Oreochromis niloticus: one gene and its partners. The protein of the gene in region 2 purifies or fractionates together with the protein of the main gene of each other region. This does not show direct contact. Links are inferred from orthologs where the notes say so. Each region holds a gene or a part of one and is shown on either strand. Other genes may lie near its edges.

Evidence for each region.
Region 1: the proteins of zc3h11a (region 2) and ncbp3 purify together in Homo sapiens (co-immunoprecipitation; 3 studies listed by BioGRID and IntAct, with this or other methods). This does not show direct contact. The link is inferred for Oreochromis niloticus from reciprocal best matches to the Homo sapiens genes ZC3H11A and NCBP3.
Region 3: the proteins of zc3h11a (region 2) and sarnp purify together in Homo sapiens (affinity purification with mass spectrometry; 3 studies listed by BioGRID and IntAct, counting the BioPlex papers as one, with this or other methods). This does not show direct contact. The link is inferred for Oreochromis niloticus from reciprocal best matches to the Homo sapiens genes ZC3H11A and SARNP.

Annotation. Positions count from the first base shown.
Region 1 is NC_031975.2:32,673,522-32,680,547, reverse strand, and holds the start of ncbp3 (nuclear cap-binding protein subunit 3), read right to left. Parts: upstream 3,006-7,026; 5' UTR 2,916-3,005; coding exon 2,739-2,915; intron 1,880-2,738; coding exon 1,814-1,879; intron 1,560-1,813; coding exon 1,454-1,559; intron 1,357-1,453; coding exon 1,231-1,356; intron 1,098-1,230; coding exon 972-1,097; intron 900-971; coding exon 748-899; intron 665-747; coding exon 559-664; intron 1-558. Other genes in the region: rap1 GTPase-activating protein 2, read right to left, coding at 5,439-5,450, 5,628-5,698, 5,774-5,831, 5,957-6,053, 6,133-6,261, 6,478-6,569, 6,658-6,762. UniProt on the Homo sapiens protein: Associates with NCBP1/CBP80 to form an alternative cap-binding complex (CBC) which plays a key role in mRNA export. NCBP3 serves as adapter protein linking the capped RNAs (m7GpppG-capped RNA) to NCBP1/CBP80.
Region 2 is NC_031970.2:39,571,506-39,578,448, reverse strand, and holds the start of zc3h11a (zinc finger CCCH domain-containing protein 11A), read right to left. Parts: upstream 3,089-6,943; 5' UTR 2,972-3,088; exon of another isoform or gene 2,652-2,971; intron 1,791-2,651; 5' UTR 1,718-1,790; intron 1-1,717. Other genes in the region: sypl2a (synaptophysin-like protein 2a), read left to right, coding at 3,692-3,706, 3,867-3,941. UniProt on the Homo sapiens protein: Through its association with TREX complex components, may participate in the export and post-transcriptional coordination of selected mRNA transcripts, including those required to maintain the metabolic processes in embryonic cells.
Region 3 is NC_031984.2:6,848,585-6,855,945, forward strand, and holds the start of sarnp (SAP domain-containing ribonucleoprotein), read right to left. Parts: upstream 3,075-7,361; 5' UTR 2,954-3,074; coding exon 2,921-2,953; intron 509-2,920; coding exon 409-508; intron 1-408. UniProt on the Homo sapiens protein: Binds both single-stranded and double-stranded DNA with higher affinity for the single-stranded form. Specifically binds to scaffold/matrix attachment region DNA. Also binds single-stranded RNA. Enhances RNA unwinding activity of DDX39A.

The DNA of each region.
Region 1 (7,026 bases), on a different chromosome or scaffold from region 2:
AAGAGTTCAAAATGTGTTAATTACATAAATAAAATGTAATTTTCTCTGTAGCACTTCATGGATTTCATAAGCAGCACACCTTAGTTTCTCTGTGGATTCTTTTAAAAAGCAGTTAAAAACCTTTCTGTTCAAACAAGCCTTTTGTTGATCTACGTATTTTATATTCTTTACATTATTTACATTAGATCTTTTACATTGTGTATAATGTCTATTGATTGTAGTGTTTATTTTAATATTTGTGTACAGCGCTTTGTGACTGCCTGTCTGTGAAAAGTGCTTAATAAATAAACTTTACTTACTTACTTTAGTTGTTTACACAAAGCACAAAGATAAAACAAACAATATATACAGTGTTATCTTCATTTTAGATGTCAAAAAGTATTTGCGGCTCCCAGTGTTTTCTTTTGCGTGGAAACCGGGTCCAAGTGGCTCTTTGGGTGTAAAAGGTTGCTGACCCCTGGGTTAGGGTAAGAGGGCAGGGAAACCATTATGTCAATGAAGGTCCTCACTAAGATAGCTGAATGGGCTTGTGCGTGTGTGAGTGTGTGTGTGTGTCACCTTGCGTGGCGAAGCGCAGCAGCAGCTTGTTTCCTTTGAAGGGTTTGATGGCGGGCCGTAGGTCGTTCCTCAGCAGGGATGCTCTCTCCGCCCGCGACAGGTCGGCCTGCGCGCACACAGCCGATGACATCATCGATCACTTTTGGGCACTGGTCAGTAAACCTGATGATTGGTCAGGTGGCGTCCTACCTGTCCGCTCTCAGATTTCGTCTTTGTCTCTGCGTCGCTGTCTCTCCCCTCAATCTCCTCGCTGCGCTTCTTCGCCGTTTCCTCTTCACCTTCGTCTACCTCGCCCTCCTCCTCTTCATCGTCCTCGTCATCTGACCCTTGACCTCGCCGACCTGCGACATCGTAACATTTACCCACAATGCCCTGAGGCTTCTGGTGGTTTCCCCTACAGTACTCGAACTCACCTTTGCTCTGCTCGCCCGGCTGGCTGGTGCCTCCCGTCTCCGTGGTAACAGCCTCCGAGTCAGGCATCCGGCTGGTGTTGATAAGCGCCCGAATGGGGGTGTCGTCATCCAGCCAAACCACGTTACCTAGGAAACCATCAGGTGGTGAGAACAGGGTTTGACCTGAGCTGTGATTGGCTGGGAGAGTCACATGCCCCGCCCCGTGCAGTAGCTTCATGAGCTCCGCAGCCGGGCTCTTCTGTCTGCATGCCGTACTCACAGGAAGTGTCGTCGATCCACTCGATGTGAGCCGGAGGATACTCTTTAAAGTACCCGAAGACGTCCTGCGTGCTCATGTCGTCCACGCCCATCACATGGATTGCCTCCATGCGCAGCTGGGGGATGGCTGGGCACCACAGAAGAAGAAGACGACGACATGTTAAACGAGCTCCTCATCAGGAAAAGGTTGGCTCTGCCTGCTGACAGTCATGGAGGACACGTACCTTTCTTCATGGCGTCTTTATCCAGGAAAACGTTCCGCTGGCCGATCTTCTCCTCCCCGTGGAAATGGAAACGCTGCGCTCGCTTCTCTTTCCTCTCGATCGCCTCCTGATGAGGAAGAAAAAGGAAATAAGTCGAGTATTCAGAGGAGTTTGAACCCTGAGCTTCCCACTCAGCTATCACTCTTTACCTGATATCATCAGGTCATGGTGACCTTTGGAAAGGTCACTCACATGAGTCCTGACCCTACAGGCGCTCAGAGACTCTTGCATGTACTTCACTAACATCGCCCACAGTGAGAAACACTTTAAAGTGGCAGCCTAACGCCCACACACACACACACACACTCTCTGATGGTTTACCTTAGAGTTGACGTCGATTCCAGTGATGAAGGCTCCAGCCTTGTTCTCATACCGCCGACTGGTGTCCTGTGAAACAGACAGACAGCAGTGAGCCACGGTTTCACTTTCTCTTTGAGCCGTTTCTGTTTGTTTGCTTCAGCAACATTACAAAGTGACTGTAAACACATGGGAAACACAGGCTGTATGAAGTCCACAGCAGCAGCCACACAGGCCTCCACAGTAAAGACTCAACTCTAATGTGACTTTCACACAAGAAGAAAACCTTCATTTCTCCAGCTGATAAACTGCTCTGGATACTGTTGGTGTGCTAGCAGGGAGAGGAAACACCCGCGAAGGTATAAAAACTACTAAGTGTGCATGCATTCAAATCGAATAACTTCACCCGTTTTGCATTTCTCTGCACGTAAAAACGTCAAACTTCCTAGTTTTAGATGAGGTTTGGTGGCAGGGACGCTCTACACTAGCAGGAAGAGTAAATAACAAAGGAAGAATAATGAAATCCAGGTTCACGCTTAGAAGAAAGCAGAACTGTTCGGTATGCGCATACCTGCTGAAATAGTTGCGGAAAATGAGCACTCTGCGGTCTCTGCTTTTTCTTTTTTTTTATTACACGTAAACATCTTAAATTCGATGTTTTTTAAATAGAGTTTGGTGGGACGTGCGCTCCACACAAACAGCACGTGAACACAGCAACAAGTGACTGAAATAAACACGAACCCCGCAAACATGTCGAAAACGTAAACCAGCCCGGTTAACGCGAGGCCCCCGCCGCTCATCGGCAGCCCCTACAGCGCGGAGGGAGGGGGGCGGCTGACTCCCGGGAGAGAGCCGGGAGTCCAAGTAACCGCTAGCCGACACTTCCCGCGGATCTGCCGGGCGACGGAGACGCCAGTCCCCGGAGTGCCGGGGCCTAGTCCGGGCTTACCGGCAGCAGCTCCTTCAGAGAGCGGTTAACGGAGATGTCCTCGGGGTCCAGCTCTCCCTCCTCCACCTCCATCGGCTCGGCTTCGCGGGCATCTCTGTCCGACTCGGAGTCCGAGTCCGAGCGGTCGGAGCCGCTGTCTGATTTCACCGAGACCCGCAAGCTGCGTACTGCCGCCATGGTGCTAACCCAGCAGCGAACAACGGCCTCTAGCGCTGCGGCTCTTGGCTGACCCGGAAACGGTACCTACGACTTCTTCTGCGGCCTGCAGGCGGCGCGCCGGAGCTCTTCCGCCCCCTGCGGTTATTAAAGGTAAAACATGATGTCATGCTCAGCAGAGGGCGGTGCTGAATAACAGACACTTTAACAGCGTCACAGACGATATATTAAAACATGTAAACCAATGTTTTTAATAAATGTGTAAATGTAAACAGCCCTAAGTATAACAGGGCTGAAGTGTACTGCACAATGTCTGAAAAATCTAAACAAAAAAGTACAAAGTAATTAATAAACAGGTAATCAAGATAACATTGTCAGAATTACAATAAATAAATAAATACATAAACACAAGGCTGTAACGGAAATGGAAAGTAATGAAAACGCAGTATAAAAACGTTTATTCATCCCGTTATTTAAACAATAACTTTTCTTTCTCTTATTTATAAAGTTTCATATTTATTTGCTTTAATTGTTTCATAACCGATACTGAGACATACTAATGCACAAATAAACACGAACACGAAATAAGAAGAACAGCTAGTCAATAATTCCTTGTTAGTTTTGGTTCTTTTACAAAAGAACAATCAACTTTTTTAATGTTTTGAACTTTAACCAGCATCTGGTTCTGAGGCAGTTTGTAGCTGCTGGTTAGTATGAAAAATGACGTCTGCAGATGAAGCGGGTCTTCAGTAAAAAAAAAAAATTTAAAAAAAAGTTGGGAGAAAATGAAACGACAAAAACAACAACAAACACTGAAAGAAGCTGATTTTTATTTGTGAAATGTTCAGTTTTACAGGTTTTACAACACACACACACACACACACTTTATGACATCAGAAAACTGCGCAGACATCTTTGTGTTCATGCTGCATCATCTTTTATTTTGAAAAGCTGAACTCCTGCAGCTGTGCAGCTTCCAGTGGAGTGAGTGACCTGGAGACTTGGCGTGATTAGTGCGAACGTCTCTCAGAGAGGGAGAGCGAAGCTTCAGACCCCATCATCAGACCAATCACAGCGCTTCTTGTTCTTCTCCCTGACCTCCAGCAGCTCCACCTCTCTGACTCACCTGCAGCACCGCCCACCTGACCCCCGTCGCTCAGACCCTGTGTGCTGCAGATCATCACACTGCGACTCCTGCAGCAGGAGTGAAACTGATTTGGTTGCAGTTTAAAAAAGGTTCAGGTTGAGCTCACGACGTTGTAATGTGTGAGGAGAACGGCAGCGTCTGTCTCTAACGTGTCTGAATCTGAACCCACAGCCACGTGTTATTATTTGTTATTAATAAGAATAAATCCCACAGAGCTCAGCATGGACGCGCAGACCGAGCAGCTCCAGCAGTTAACGTGTTTCCTGTATTTCCGTCCTTTTTAACCTGAGTGCATGCGCTCGCCTTCCTGTGTCTGTGTTGAGAAACCATCAGAGTCACGACCCAACGACAAACTTTAGGCCTGTAAAGGCCTCGCATCCACCGCAGGAACTCTCCTCCAGGACCAGGAACCTTCGGGGGGACCAGCACCGTGCCGGCTGACAAAAAGACTAAACAGCACTCAGGACCAGTCATCTAACAGGGAGACAGGGGGCGGGTAGTTGCAGTTCTTGTGGTTGCCTCTGATATGAGTGAATCCCCAAACTTTGAGCTGCTGTGCTGTTTTTGTTTTTCTTGTTTTGGTTGAAATGATTGGACCCCCGCAGAGAGGACATCTCCCAGCTGGATGGGAGCACCTCAGCGGTGTTTGGGGAGAGGGGCATTAACCGCTGCCCCTCAGGGAAGCTTAGCTGCTCGGGTCCTGGTCCTTTGGGTGGAATCTCAGCCCCTCTCTGCAGCGCCCCCTGGTGTTTCTGTGATAAATAAAGTTTCTAGGGAACGAGCGAGCCTCCTCTTTACATCTTACACTGAAAGAAGCGCAAAACAGGGAGAGCTCTGTGGGTCGAACTTGACTGTAGGACGGTTTAAAAAGAACTACGTGTTCAGTGTCCTGTTCAGAAATGATTTTATGGTTTGTGCAGAAGATGAGAAGAAAAAAACAGACAGAAACAGGAGAGCTGCACTTGGGGTCCTCACAAAGACAGAAAGACAAGTATGTGTGTGTGGTGGTCCATCAGGAGACTCTCCTCCTCCTGCTCCTGCTCCTCCTCCTCCTCCTCCTCCTCCTCCTGTGTGGAGACTGCCGTCTGTTTGAAGCTTCAGGCTTTTATTCTGGAAAGCAGCGAGAGAAAGAGGAACACATCAAACCCAGCTCAGAGAGTCGCTCACATCATGGCCCAGAAAGTGTGAACACGAGCCACCCAAGACAAGCGCCAGGGCGAGAACGCCAACCAAGACAGGAAGTAAAACACGAGACGCTACAGGAGGAACTAACTTTCAAAATAAAGCAGGAAGTAGACTCAGAAGCAGAACAGAGTGACAGAAGCAGCACTTTGAAAAATGGAATTTAAAATCGGACTTCTGGGAAAGCACACACCTGTCAGCGGCGTCCTGTCAGCTCAGTGTCCCTGCTGCAGACAGAAGGAAGGTTTCACACTCAGTAATCAGATTACACAGAAAATACTTGAAAAATCACACTGAACAAAATAACAAAAAGCAGTGACGTCCTGGAGGCGTGCAGCCCAATCAGCTGCTCCGCATATTCAGGTAAACAGCGAGCCTGCTGATTGGCTGTCACACAGACTTACTGCGGCGGAGTGGCTGAGCTTGTCGAAGCGAAATTTCAGGTTGGATCTGGGCGAGTTCTTGTTTTTCAGCTCTGAGAGAGGAGAGAGCAAACGAGACGTGAGAACGGCTCCAGAACAGAAACGCTGGCGGTGAGCGGGCGTCGCACCTGTGGGGCTGCGGCACACGATGACCGGAGCTGAACTCTGACCTTCTACCGTCGCAGCCTATACACGTAGAGACACAGAGGGAGGACGCATTGATGAGGGTCTGCATTACAATACAAGGCGCCCTAAATAACACTGAGCTGAATATAACGCTGACCCAACAGATGGTTTAAGTGTGTTTTCACCTGTCTCACCAGGTGTGTGTCGTCAGCTGGGATGCTGAAGCTGCAGGTGCTGGATGTCGACCTGGAAATCTTACTGCTCTCCTTCTTCGTGTGAATCCTGCCGATAAAAGTAAAAAAGTGATGAAGTTTATTGTTTCGCAGTGAAAACTGAAACATCTGCTTCTTTCATTTCTTACTGTTGCTGCTTCTGCTGCACACACCTGTCCCGCTGCCCCGCCTCCGGAGTGCTAGGATTGGACGGCAGCTCCGGCCTCACCTCCAGCATCGGGTGGCATCCGTCGAAGCTCCTCTGCTCACCGGGGAGGCTGAGGAGGCGTAACAGAGACAGGAGGAGGCGGGGTTAATGTCCTGAAAGCAGGTAAGAGCTGTTAGCTCAGTAACACGCAGCACACCTGCTGAGACTGGCTCTCCTGAAGGTGTGCCCCCACCTGTGCAGCAGTGCTGACATGCACACTGGTGGGTTTGAACTTTATTGTCCAGGTAAACAAACTGAGAGACAGGAGAGCGTTGGGCAGCGTTACCTCCGCTGGCTGTGCTTCTCTGTTTGGCTGTCGACGCTCAGCAGGCGAGGAAAAAGTCCCGAGCGCCGCTTCACGGGAGACTTGACGTTACACTGCCAACGCAAAGAGTCCAGGTGTTACAGCCGCTCACAGACGAGCGGGGTTCAACCTGCTCCTTCAGTTACCTGCAGAACAACTCACCTCCACGTTCAGGTGTGCCAGACCCCCCCCACTCAAACTGGTGGGCAGTCCAGCCCCGCCCCTCGACATGGTCTCCATGGAGACGCTCCTCCCTCGCATCGCCCTCTGAAATGGAAGAAGTGATGTCCAGTAATGGAATCCTGATTTGTTTGACACAAATGGCTTCTTCCTGTCCTCGCCTTTCACAATAAAAGCTCTAGGTATCTACACAGTGTGACTGTGACTCTAATACAGAAAGCAGCCGTTTGCAACTGAAATAAAAACTTATCTCCGGTTTTACTGGCTATGAAATTCATGTTTTTCCTAAGAAATATTTTTTTGTTGCTGTAAAAATGATTTTCTTACTAATTAAACATAATGTTGTGGATA
Region 2 (6,943 bases):
CAAAATCCTGCTCCTCACATACAAGGTCTTAAATAATCAGGCCCCATCTTATCTTAATGACCTTGTAGTACCATATCACCCTATTAGAGCAATTCGCTCTCACACTACAGGCTTACTTGTTGTTCCTAACACTTGGATTCAGGAGACAGACACTATCTCTACTTTCAAGATTAGGCTTCAAACTTTCCTTTTTGCTAAAGCATATAGTTATAGTGCTCCCCATGACACAATGAGTGTTTCTTTTTCACTCCATTTTTAATTCAGTTCATTTTATTTATGAAGCACCAACTCACAACGTTCACCCAGACTCTGTACATCACCAACTAGATTTCAAGTCAAACAACTAGGGCTGCCACGATTCATCGACTAGTCACGATTACGTCGACTATCAAAATCGTCGACGACTAATTTAATAGTCGACGCGTCGTTTGAAGCTTTGTAAGATCCCGACAGACGCAGGAATAAGTAGTAGGATTTAAGAGTGTAATAACTGACTGAAACAGAAGATGGCAGCACTGCATGTACAAGGATGCCAGCTGCTGTTACACTCCGAAGAAGAAGCAGCTGTGTCCGGTATCATAGCTGTGTCCAAATTCAGGAGCCGCATCCTCCTGTGCCCGCATTTGTAGGCCAATTACGTTACAGCGACACTACAAAGACTGTCCAAATTCGAAGACTCCGACAATTGCGCCCTTCATTTCCCCAGATTTGAAGGATGGGTCGGGTGTATCCTTCGTGGCCCAATCTATCCCAGAATTCATCAGTTTCCAACAATGGCGGCAGCTAGTTAGTTTTAATATCACTCTTATTATTCTTTCTGGGTCACAAAATAAACGTTTAACATATTTTCAGGTGAGAATGTAGCTGTGTAAACTTCAAATATCTGCTTGGTTTATCAAGACACCACATATTTTCAAAAGAGCGCCAACGTTTTCAGAGACGTCTGTTACCCACCAGCTCGATAGCTAGCCGGGGTTCAAGGCTCACTAGAGCCGGTGAGAACACCGGACTCCTGGCAAATCATTTTCAAACCCACCGCGGTCTTTCGCTACTCAGGTTAAACATGATACATAAGTCACTTAGGTAATTTAAAAATGTTATTGTTTGGCTTTTTTCACAATTTTATTTGTTCCTGAGTAAATCGGTTTGGCTGAGATTAAAGTTATAGTTTTCACACAGCTGAATAAACGTCAAGCAGACAGCTGATTATCAGAAGTGTGAGATGCTCGAGAATATACTCCGGTGTCCTGTTATATTTTAGATAGCAAGGAGCAGAAGGCTGGGTTTATTAAACTCCACCTAAACAATCTGCAAATGTCATTAAAATTTAATAAACTATCATCTTGTCTTTATTTTTAGTTAGCACATACCTTCAACACTCAAAGCTGTAAGCTAATGATAGTTATATAAGAGCAGATGCTGCTGGTGCAATCAGCTGTACCTGTTACGTCCAATGGATGCATGATCTGATTAGTCGACTAATGCAAAAATAATCGATGACTAGTCGACTATCAAAATAATCGTTTGTGGCAGCCCTACAAACAACAAGATGTTCTGCACAAGAAAAATTAAAAAAAACAATTTGACAAATTTGTAGAAAAGGCAAAAAAACTGCACTGAGAGTAATCTGTAAAGCTGACCTGTACTCATGTGAGATGGCCTATAACATTTCAACAACAAAATGTTGCTTTTGTGTGAAGCATTGCAGCTCATTTACCTGAGGTAGTAGAGAAGTGGTCTGCCTCTTGAGTGCACAGCTGGTACGGAGTCTCCACAGTAGTAAGGAAATCCTGAAGGAACACTTGATCCATGAGATAAGAGGAAAAGTGGGGTGGGTCTCCCAAAGACATTAGTCTTCCTACGACATCCCATTTCTGAGACATCCTGATCTCTGCCAAACCGCTAAACAATACTGATGCTGATGCAATAAAGTCCTTTGGGGATTTCTTGTAAATCATCATTGATACTATTTGGTGTGGCTACTGACATAAATAAGTAGGGGGACATAAACAGCATGAACAAGAAAAAATAGAAGAAACTCTAACTGATGTGGGAAAAAAGATGAGAAAGGTGGGGTGGTTGGTGGGAAAAAAATCCTCAGCTTCTTCTTGGGCTTGTTGGCATTTTACACATTTTGTGACATTTGAATGCTGGAGGTTGGGAGGAAAAACGCTGCAGGACTTTCATGTCTTGATTACCAAATGCTGGAGAAAAAAAAATCTTCTGCCAATCAACTGGGGGCAAATTATCCGTATCCAGGGATTCCCAAAGAGGGCCAAGAGGATGGGTTTAAACCTACAAATACATCAGAAACACTGCCCGGGGAACTGAACACTGGTTATTGAAAGACAAACAGGACAAACACATTTCCACACAGCAACATGAAACAAGCCTGCTCGACACTTACATACTTTCACATTTCTAGTGTCTCATGCAGGAAAATCTACAAGTACTGTTTTGGGAGGCTTCTTCACTCTACACACGGAAGCCTTAGCTTGCCAGTGACAATTGGCCTTAACTATGATCGTCATCTTAATTAGGACACAAACAAAAATTAAACTGAAACACTCAGATAACAATAACGAATCTCAAACTCGAGGAAAATATAAATTTAAAGACCAAGACAGCCAAGAAAACATTCATATACTTACTGTTGAATTACAAAAAGTGTCTCAAAGCTAATGAACTACGTGACTCCCAGTCGGAAAGGAAAATGACTTTATAGCTAACCGGGCTAACTAGTCTCTAGTTTAAAAATGTGAACTCTTAAATTATTATGCTTAATCGATGAACACTTTTTTTAGCTCGTGTACATAACAGAGGCCTACCGAAACCTTGGGCGGTTAGCGACCTAATCGTGAGCTAAGCGTTCAGACGGCCGTTTATTACCGTGGTATTCACGTTCGTGTTATAACGCGTGAATGTAACTGCCATACATATGATGTAAACAGTGTATGTAGTGTTGAATTACCAGTTTAAAATTTAAAAAGATATTTGAAAACTTGTAGAATATGGCAAGAAAAACCCGAGCCTGCTCGAAGAAAACCAGAAGCGCACTGTGACTTAAGCAAAATGGCGACGGTGGAATAAAAATACGAAGGGGTGGCCTGCGTGCTGTGTTCAAGTCGCACGGAAAGGTCGAAGATTCGAAAACTTCTATCACGTCTACAGCAAGAGTGTTATACACTCTCTAGGGGCTATGTCAGCAAAGACATTCATTCTGCTATGCTAACCCTTAGTGAATAACAGTCTGGCGTAGAAATAAATAAATAAGCACCGTAAGTAATTATGAACTATTTAGATAGGCCAAATCTAGTTAGTTAGGGTGCAAACTGCTATCGCGGCTATGTTGTGATCCACACAATTTATTTTAAATACTGTCAAAATCACACTGCATTGTGCAGCATTACCTTCCGCTCCCTCCAACATTAGAAACGCTAACTAATAATCACATTGAAAGAAAAATTAGTCATCGCTTTCTGATTTCAAACGTGTGCTTTTTATTTTGAAAAGTAAAAACAGGAAGTACTATGTCGGTTTCACAGTAGGGTCCGTGCACAGTTGAGACTGCCCCCTGCTGTTAGCTCCTATGTCGTTGGCAGAAAGCAGACGGACCAACTTGAAGTTAGCTTTACATGCAAACTGACAAAAGTAGTACCGGGACACTAACTGCTAGTTTTTACACACTTCGATGGACACTGTTCAGGTTTGTGAGTTTTTTAAAGTGCCTAAGTTGACGTGAGCTAGCGTTAGCATGCAGCTGCTTTAACCAGGGCAGGGTCAGTTAGCTGCAAGGTGACTAACACGTATCGCCGTTTGTAGAGGTACTTTTCGTTCACACCTGGTTGCGTGTCTTTGGTGCACAGAAAGCAATGGCCGGATTTTCTCTGGACCTTGGACCGCTGAAGGAACCTTTGGGATTTATTCGTGTCCTCGAATGGGTAAGCACTGTCACATACATGTCTTTGTACGTTATTTATCCCAATCAGCGTGAAGTCTGGAATATTCACTGGGATGTCTCCTAGGAGTCCATTTATCCATGTACCAGTAATTAAACTGGTACATGTATTCAAGAAGACAGCTTGAATAACTAATGAAGAACTTTAAACTTCTGTGTCTGTTTTGTCGACGTTACATTTTATAACACTGACCTTACTCATTTTCCTCAGTGAAATGTTAACCTAGAACAGGGTATCAGCTTTTATCACATCATAAAACCTGATTATGTGTAGGACTGGGTCATACCACCAGCTGAACCAGTTACCAGGAAATTCCACTGTGGTACTCCCAGTGTGGCTGGTACCTGGTGTTGCTGAACCGTGGGGTGAGTTTGATGTGGAATGGCAGCTGCTTGGCTTGTGTTGGAACAAGCTGTAAATCTCACTTGTGTTTGAGTCCGTGAAACTGCCCTTTGATTTTGAATAGACTGAATATGAAGAAAAGAAAACACATTAGGATTGCCCCTGCCTGTGTGCCTGCACATATGGTGGTGCTCTGTGTATTAGAGCACCACCAAATCCACGCGTGGAAGGTGAAAGTGTGTCAGTCTGCTCCATTTTAGTGTACAGTAAGGTTTGTTTCAACACGACTGTGAACTATAGAGAGTGAAATATAAATGCAAAAAGTGTTGAGCCAGCCTGGTTTGTTGATCTTTTGCTTGCAGGAAGACAGACGTGTTTTAAAATGGTCTGGAGCAGTAGCTCTCTCATACCTGACCATTTTCAAATGGGTTTGTTTTGTTTCTTTGTTGGTTTGTTACAGCTATTTAACACTGACCTGTGAATAGGGCTGGCCCATATCAAACCGTTCACAGTAATACCGGTATAATGTTGGGCAACAATAAGAAAATAGAAAGCGAAAATTTCAGAAGAAATTTTAAGTGTGCCTATGCCGCTAGTAATCAGTGTAGTTTGCCATTCATACGGCTACAGACAGCAAAACTCAGAAGAGCAGCCATTCTCCACCATGAACTATGGTAAAAACAAACACCGCTCACGCTTCACAGATGACAGCTTACAGTTTTGTGTAAAGATGAAGTTACTTTGTACAGCGCCGATTTGCAGACGCTGTGCACACAGGTTCATGAGCAGAAGTCCCATTGTACCACGGCAGACCCGACAATGTTTGCACGAACACGCTTTGAAGCATTACGTTATGGACCACTTTTCACACATGGTTGGTTTACCCACACAGCCGGCCGTGCATTCACTTTTTGTTTTTTGTTATTTTACACAGTGTTCTGAATTATGAACAATGGTCTACAGCCAATCTTGTGTATTATTATACAAACTTTGGTTGTGAGATTCAGATAACTATTTAATAAAAGCTAAATATTTTATATGAGAGTAAGAAAGAAAAGTATATCTTTGTGTCCACCTTTCTCTGTTAATGCCCTAGCTGGTCTTTATTTGTCTCTCAGAAACAACTCATAACTTCCCTTCAACTCATTCATGTCACCTAAAGTGTAAACCTGTTTCTCCATCACCAGTTCAGCTCTGATGATTCAGTAAGGACATCTCCTGAGTTCATCTTCATGCTCCAGCAAACATCAGCTGATACTAGAAATTAAAATCAAAAGAATTGTAACAACAGCTGATCAAGCTTAAAGGTGCTGCTGTTGTTAGCCCGAGAAATAAGAGCGAACAGCCGATCATTGATCAGTTTCATGATTGACGTTTCAACACGCGAGAGAATGACAGGGGAGGCTTCGTAACGACAGAATAAATCATAATATTTTCTCTGACTCTATGAACTAACCCTTATGAATAAAATAAAGTCCAACGTCAGTAACTTAGCGCGCACACAGCTGTATATAAACTCCCGTGGCAGTACGATTGTAAAAGGTCAACGAAAATAAATTACACCTAAACTCGGTTTATATCTGACCCAAATAGAGTGCAGTTCATAACTTCTTACCTGAAATTCAGTTCACCTCACGCTCCTGCCTTCGGTTTCCAGCATCATCGGCCCATATAAACGAAAAATAAGTCCAGCTGAACACAGACCCTTGGCGAGCAATCGGGTGTTGACACGACTTTCTGCCGCTTCACTATAAGCCAAACTTGGGTGCTTTTTCACGAAGGGTCGCTAACGGCGCTAGCTTGCGGCGCTAGCTAGCTAGCCGGCTATCAACAACACGTAAGAGAATATGGGATGTCTTGATAAAACGAGCAGATATTTGAAGTTTACACACCTACATTCTCGCCTGAAAATATCTTAAAAGTTTATTTTGTGACCTAGAAACACGAAAAAAAGCATTATAGAATCCAAGTGGTGTCCGCCATTGTTTCACTGGCAGAGGCTAGCGGCGCTAGCTAGCTGGCTATCAACAACACGTAAGAGAATATGGGATGTCTTGATAAAACGAGCAGATATTTGAAGTTTACACACCTACATTCTCGCCTGAAAATATCGTAAAAGTTTATTTTGTGACCTAGAAACACCAAAAAAAACCATTATAGAATCCAAGTGGTGTCCGCCATTGTTTCACTGGCAGAGGCGTGCTATGAATTGTGGGATATGGAGTTTTCCGACAAGAATAAAAGTTTTAGCCCGTACTACTCCCGGTATACCACTAGAGAGAGCCAACACACCACAAATGAAGTCTGTTTCTATGGTGCCAAAAGCAGAATCTTTCTCAGGAGCCTAGAAATTGGCCTAAATTTGTACTAAAATCTAAATATTTCAAAAACTATAAAAGTCATAAACACCAAAAGTCATACCATACTAGCCCAGCTCCAGCCGCACAAAATGATGTAACATATGTAACCCTATTGTCAAAACTGTTTGGCAGAGGAGCGTGGGAAAATTTTCACTAAAATATTAATATTTAAAAAACTATAATAGTCATAAACACCAAAAGTCATAGCACACCATTCCAGATCCAGCCGCACAAAATGAGGTAACATATATGAAGCTTGTCTAATAATAAGAAGAATAATAA
Region 3 (7,361 bases), on a different chromosome or scaffold from region 2:
CAATACAACTTCTTTTTTTTAAACTAAATCATACATTTGAAAAGTCAGACATTCTTTAGTGGTGAGTGTCGCTCACGGTATACTCTGTTTAGCATTAAGCAATAAGCATAATGAACCATCAGCAAAATCAGGTATGATAATTCTGTGTTTAACCATTACAACGCTTTTCAGCATTTCTTTTATTCAAAATCATGCATAATGTTGGGTTGGAAACAAAATCAAAGTTGATCTAGCAAATATGGAAAAGCTCTGTTTTAGCTCTCTATATAGTTTCAGACATAAACGACTCTTCTCTCACGTTTCACGGGGCTGGATTTTAAGCCCTTTATTTAGGGAGGTAAATGAAATGTTTGTGTGTGTGTGTGCGCGAGCTAAATGAGTGACAATAAGAAAAGTATTGTTCCTCACCGTGTTCCTCCAGATAAGCCTGGAGTCGGGCGATGAGCTCCCCTTTGTTTCCCTTGGTCTCCAAACCTCGGGCATCGCATTCCTGCCTCAGTTCAGCAAGCTACAAATAAAAAACCAGAGTTCATTTACTTAAACCTGACATTTTTGGTCATTAATCCATCTAACACAGACCATTTACTATTTAGGTACACATACCACTATTACTTCTGTTATGTGGATGTGACAAATTTGCAGGTCAAAGAATATGTGAGGGTCAGCAAAAGATAAACTTCATCATCAGTTGGTGAGCATCAGTCTTAGTGCAGACGTTTGAGTACCTGTCATTTTTTTGTGAGGAACTAGCCTACAGTGCAGCTACTACTAACGTGCCCTTCAGTCAGACTTCAAAGAAGTATAAAGAGGAATGAGTAATTCTCATTCTCCATGTCAGTAATGTAGAATAACCCTTTTTATGTGGACCGATCTTGCTTTCATTAGGGGGATGGAACTGAAGACCAGTTCTGTTGAGGAAAACAAGTCTTGGCTAGGCTGCATCACAGGTATATGACTGCCTGCAGAAACAGCAGGTTAATAAGTGCTGTGACAACTTTCTTGTTATTCTTGAAAAAGTCCCAGAAAAACAACAGAATGAAAACACCCCTAACTATTAGTTAGGGTAGTCAAAATCAGATGTCTCCAGCCCACACACAAATATGAAAACACAACAATCACATATGAAATTCATTGGATTAAATCACATTAGAAACCCATTTAAGTAAAGAAATCTGTGTTGTTTGCTTTTTAAATTAATTTCAGTAACAAGTTATCCACCTAATTTTTTTCCCCCTATAGCACCTTTTCAGCACCTTTAATGTAATGAAATGCACGCTGGTGTTTTTCTTTCCTGAAAGCTACTCTGCATTAGTTTTCAGATAATCGTTTTCCATCACTGCCCTTGGAGTTTGAATACAGTCTGAATCAAAAACACTACTTGGATTCCTCCATCAGCTGACGCACAGATCATCTAAACGTGTGTGTTGGGTTTATATTTTATTATTGTCATTTGTATTGAGAAACATGTAATCATTTGTGTTTATAAGTATATAGTTGATGGCATATGAAAGAATGTCTCATCCTAGGAGGTCTGTAACAACTCTGTGTAGCATGAAGAGGGGAGTGCATTCACTCCTCTTCAGAGTGTTCTGGCATGGATCACACACCTCCTAGGAGAGGTCGTATCTTCTCTTGCTGATATATAGTATAGCAAACATACGTATATCTGTTTGAGTGTAAGGGCCTTTTGTTCAGATGTACCGCTAGACTCCTGGCACCAGCTTTGGGGAGTCTTCAAGGGGTCACATCTTGACCCCCCCCCACACACACACAAGGTATTCTTTGTTCACATGTATACCTATGTAAGATGTTATATGTTAATGAACCTATGCATATTCATGTAACCACAATAAAAGGAGTGCTATGGGGAACCTGGCTGAGAGTCTGACGGAGGTCAAGTGGGTGGAACGACACTTGGCTCCAGGCAGGCCTCCCTCATGCATGAGTACTACAAAGAACTTTGCCTACTTGTGTCTTGTTTTTGCTGTGTAGTAAATTGCCTTGAACGTTCCAGCGAATAGGTTTAAACTACAAACCTATCAGTGTGGACACAGATAACAAATAGATCCAGACCACACTCGGACAGAAAAGCTTTACCTTCGTTCAAATATTATATTTTTACTAACTGGCTTCTTTAGTTTCATTTCCCCTCTTCCTGTCGCTCCCCTCGTGTGATGTGAGCTATTTTATTTATCTTAATAATTTACTTCATTTCTTTGTTGTAAGTCGTGTTTAATGTTTCGGCTTCTGTGACTCAGGAATCTCCCAACATTTTGGGGATAACTAAACTAAATGCCACAAACACACAGAGTTTACACATACTGCTCATCTTTATGTTGTGTGGCCTGAGATGGAGTCAAATTCCCGGCGCGAGTTATCCTTTCACTTATCGAGAGACGCCAAACAAGTGCGGACAGTTAAAAAAACAAATAATAAATTAAAAAAAAAAAAATATAACCCTAAACTCCCTGTGAAGCGTTTGATATAAGTTTGCTTTGGGCAAAAAGCCTGGCGGCAGCATTTTAGGACAGTTGTGAGTGTAGAGTCAGAGACCGAGTAAACTGAGCTGCACTTTTACGAGCCAATGTTGGGCTAGCCTTAGCCAAATTAGCTTGCTGTTAACGTTCAGAGACAGTAGGTGACTCTGTATATGACAATATTTGTTATTTTACAGTAATTTCATATTTAATGTTTTTTCCCTCTCCTTAGCCGATGCATTCTAACGTTAGCCCGCCGTTAGCTCTTTGAACACATGCCGGGTGTTCGCCTTCTCAGCCGGACGTCATTTTGTTCTTCAAAACGGTTAATTAACGTAACCCCGACCTCCGGTCCTGCATCTAACTCCGGTTAAAAGCTATCTTTATCTTTAAAAAACGACTAAATGCGGGTTATAAAGTGCATATTTTAGGGAAATACCAACCTTAAGCTTCTGCAGCTCTATCACTTCGGCCATCTTTCTTTGTTGATGTGTTTACTTCCGCAAATCAAACCGGAGCTGCTCTCCTTCTCAGCTCCTCCTCTCTCACTCGGTTTGTCACAGCGCCGCCCACCGCTGCGGCTGACACCCTGCAGGCGTGTGCACGTACAGAGCCCACGGTGTGATGGTTGTATTATTGCAGGGTCTTATACCTTACGGTATAAATCGCCTTGAGGCAGCTGTTGCTGTGATTTAGCGGTATATACATGCAACTGAATTAAACTTAATTGAAAACCAACTAAATACAACTCATTAGCAGGTTAGACCCCCTTTTGCCCTCAAATCTGCCTTAAATCTTCAAACCACCCATTTTAATGCAAAGCTAACTGATCCTCGGGCAATATAAATCTAATAATGAAATAATATTAGTAGATAGGAACACTAACATCCAAAGCAGGTGATTTCAGTCTAAATTTTAATCCCAATGAAGGTAACTCAGCTTGAAGTGGTTAAAACATCGGCAGAGAAAAAATACGAAAACAAAAACAGCTCTATTTTCTGTTGCCTACATTGAAGAGGATGACTTTGCCTCTAAACAGGAAAATGTGTAGGCAAGGGGTTAAAGCGGATTCAGCAGGCGGAGGAACCCTAAAAGTCAGCTGACTCATTGTGGGCTAACCCTAACCCACTATTGAGAGCTCCACTAGATTTTCTTAGTGTACAGGCTGTGATCAGCTGACATCCTGCTCTTTGTGGATTTAAACAACTGAATTCAACAAGATGTCAGCAGATGTCTCAAAAGTTCTCCTGGCTGACTTCAGTCCTCTACACTGACAGCAAACTGTTTATACTGTCTTTATATTAGACAGTATAAAGCTGGTATAAAGATGGAATTCAGTGAATGAATCTCAGGATCATGAGCTTAGCTTCAGATTCATCTCTGCTAAACTTGATGTAACCTAACTGACCATGAAACCGCAGCCACTGTACAACAGTCACACACTGTTCTTTATTTTAAATCCATCACAGTACAGATCCTGCACTAACATACAGAGGATTTTCATGTCACCTTTAAATAACAGTTAGTTTACCTCAGTTTGTTTAGCAGCATGTTTTTTAATACAAAACATAATGTCACACGTATGGAGCAAATAGTTGATTTAAAAACATGAGGACTTTGTTAAGTGCAGGCTGTGTGCAGACAGGAATAGGACCCAAGGTGCAGACTCCGGAGACCAAAGGTGAACTCAAAACAGCTTTAATACTAAACTCAAAAAGGGGTAACATAACATGACTGGAAAAAATCAAAATAAACTTAAACCAGAGGACTAACAGAACACACAGCTAAGTAAACGGTAGAACGCGACAGAGAGCACAGGAAAACACAGGGCTTAAATACGCAGAGGGAGTAATCAGGGAATGGGCAACAGGAGGGAAACAGCTGGGGCAAATCAGGACTAACGAGACAAAGAAGCGTAAACTGAACACACTGAGAAAAGACAGAGACCTTCAAAGTAAAACAGGAAACACAACACAGACTGAGCTTATAGACACAGACTGACTGGACACGGGGATATAGCAACTAAGGATACACAGAGAAGCGAACTAGACAAGGGGATACAGCTGACAGGGGAGACAGCAACTAGAGACGACAGACAAAAACCATAAGACAGAACTCAAAGAAACCAAAGACTAGAAATTATAAATAATATAACAAACTCAAAAACCCTGGGTCAACGACCCAGGCCTCCTAACAGTACCCCCCCCTTAAGGGCTGGCTTCCAGACAGCCCAAACCAGAATCACCAAAAACGAAAAACAACCCAACCAGGGCGGGCGGTGGGGGAAACAGGACGGAGGGCTCGAAACAAACCAAACAAGGAGCCAGAAACAAAAAAAACAAAAAACAAAAAAAACCCCGCAAACAACGGAGCCCAGAAAGCAACATAACAAAACACACAGGCGGCCAGGAAAAACAGGTCACAAAGTTCAGGGGGCCGGCCCGGAGGACGACGACCCAAGAGTCCAGAAAAAAGTTCAGGGGGCCGGCCGGGCGGGAGGCACCGGCGGCGACGGAGCAGGTCAGGAGGCCGGCCGGGCGGGAGGCACCGGCGGCGACGGAGCAGGTCAGGAGGCCGTCCACGATGGCGAGGATGCCCAATCATCGGCTTGGAAAGCAGCCAGAAAGGACGAGCAGGCCGGACAGGACGTGCAGGACGAGCAGGACGAGCAGGACCAGGACGCGTAATCAGAGGCCTGGAAGGAGGCCGGCGCTGTAGAGGCGCAGGATGTGGTCCGGACGTCGGCGTGGCCGAGGCAGGACCAAGCGAAGCTGTAGCCGAGGCCAGACCGGGCGAAGGCGAAGACTCGGAGGCCGGACCGGGCGAAGGCGAAGACTCGGAGGCCGGACCGGGCGAAGGCGAAGACTCGGAGGCCGGACCGGGCGAAGGCGAAGACTCGGAGGCCGGACCGGGCGAAGGCGAAGACTCGGAGGCCGGACCGGGCGAAGGCGAAGACTCGGAGGCCGGACCGGGCAAGGGTGACGGCGAAGGCGAAGACTCGGAGGCCGGACCGGGCAAGGGTGACGGCGAAGGCGAAGACTCGGAGGCCGGACCGGGCGAGGGTGACGCTGCAGGCGATGCTGAAGCTGGACCAGACAACGGCGGAGCTGAAGCCGTAGCTGGACCAGGCGAGGACGAAGCCGTAGCCGTAGCTGGACCAAGTGACGGCGTGGGAGCCGCAGGTGGTGGCGATGAAGGCTGGACGGGCCCTTCGGACCCTCCAGCGGAGGCAGAAGGCTGGACGGGCCGCTCGGACCCTCCAGCGGAGGCAGAAGGCTGGACGGGCCGCTCGGACCCTCCAGCGGAGGCAGAAGGCTGGACGGGCCGCTCGGACCCTCCAGCGGAGACGAACAAAGGCTGGCGCGGTTCTCCAGAACCCCCAGTGGGAACAGAAGGCTGGACGGACCCCTCAGACCCTCCAGCGGAGACGAACAAAGGCTGGAGCGGTCCCTCGGACCCTCCAGCAGGAATAAACGGCTGAGTAAACGACTGAGGTGAAAACTGAGCAGGTGACTGAGCCGATAGGTGAGCTAATGTTCGAGCTATGGATAGAAGTTTAAGTTCTATTGACTGTTGTAACGATGGTAGTAATGGTGGGTTAGGTGGTGGATTAGCAGTAAGCTGAGCTAGTTCCCCTGAGCCTCCAGAACCTGAAGAAAATCGCTGGACGGGCTCACCTGAGCCTCCAGCGAGGTCAGAAACAGGTGCAGGTACCTGCCGGATACCGGCCTCTCCCACCCGAGGAGAAGGTACGGGTGCCGCGACAGGCACCGGAGCAGGGACCAGCTGGACCTCAGCCTCCCTCACCTGAAGCACTGAAACAGGTGCAGGGGAATGCTGGGCCCGAGCCGCCCTGGGAGCAGGAACACAACTGGGCGAAGGAGCAGGGTCAGAAAACACAGAATCCTCTAAAATGTTTTTTAGCTTCCTACCACCACCATGTGTAATAGTCTTAACAGTCTCAGTTTTAGCAGTGTTCATATGATTGTCTTTTTCCAGCTTAGAGGGAGCAGAATGAAAACAGTCATTATAACTCACCACGGGGAGTGGCTCAGCAGAGACAGAGTGGCGACTGCGTGAACGTCGCTTTCTCCGGGAAGTGGGAGGTGGCAAACTGGGCTGCGAACCCTCCAAAAGACCGGGCTGCGACGAGGAAGCAGAGAGTTTGTGAAGCTCAGAACGTGGCAGACCCAAAAACAGAGCGAAGGATTGCAGCGGAGTGAGTCTAACGTCCGGCGTCACGTAATCCCTCTTCCTCCGCCGCTTAACCTTCTTGTCGGACTGGTAATCCAGGGGTGGAGGCGGAGGTGTAGCGACTGGAGAGAATGAGCACGTGCTCAATCTGATCGCCCGAGGCATAGGCGCCGGCTCGGCCATGGCCATGGCAGTTTGGAGGCTGCGGGGCCCTCCGAAAGCCAAACGAGACCCATAGAAGGGTGACTGGAGCTCCTGGGCATGCTTAGCCTCCTGCCTCACGCTCTCCTTGAGGAAGGCAGAAACTGCGGGTCGCCGATACCAAACAGAGTCTGCTGGGTCCATAGTATGGTCGCGTTCTTCTGTTAAGTGCAGGCTGTGTGCAGACAGGAATAGGACCCAAGGTGCAGACTCCGGAGACCAAAGGTGAACTCAAAACAGCTTTAATACTAAACTCAAAAAGGGGTAACATAACATGACTGGAAAAAATCAAAATAAACTTAAACCAGAGGACTAACAGAACACACAGCTAAGTAAACGGTAGAACGCGACAGAGAGCACAGGAAAACACAGGACTTAAATACGCAGAGGGAGTAATCAGGGAATGGGCAACAGGAGGGAAACACAGCTGGGGCAAATCAGGACTAACGAGACAAAGAAGCGTAAACTGAACACACTGAGAAAAGACAG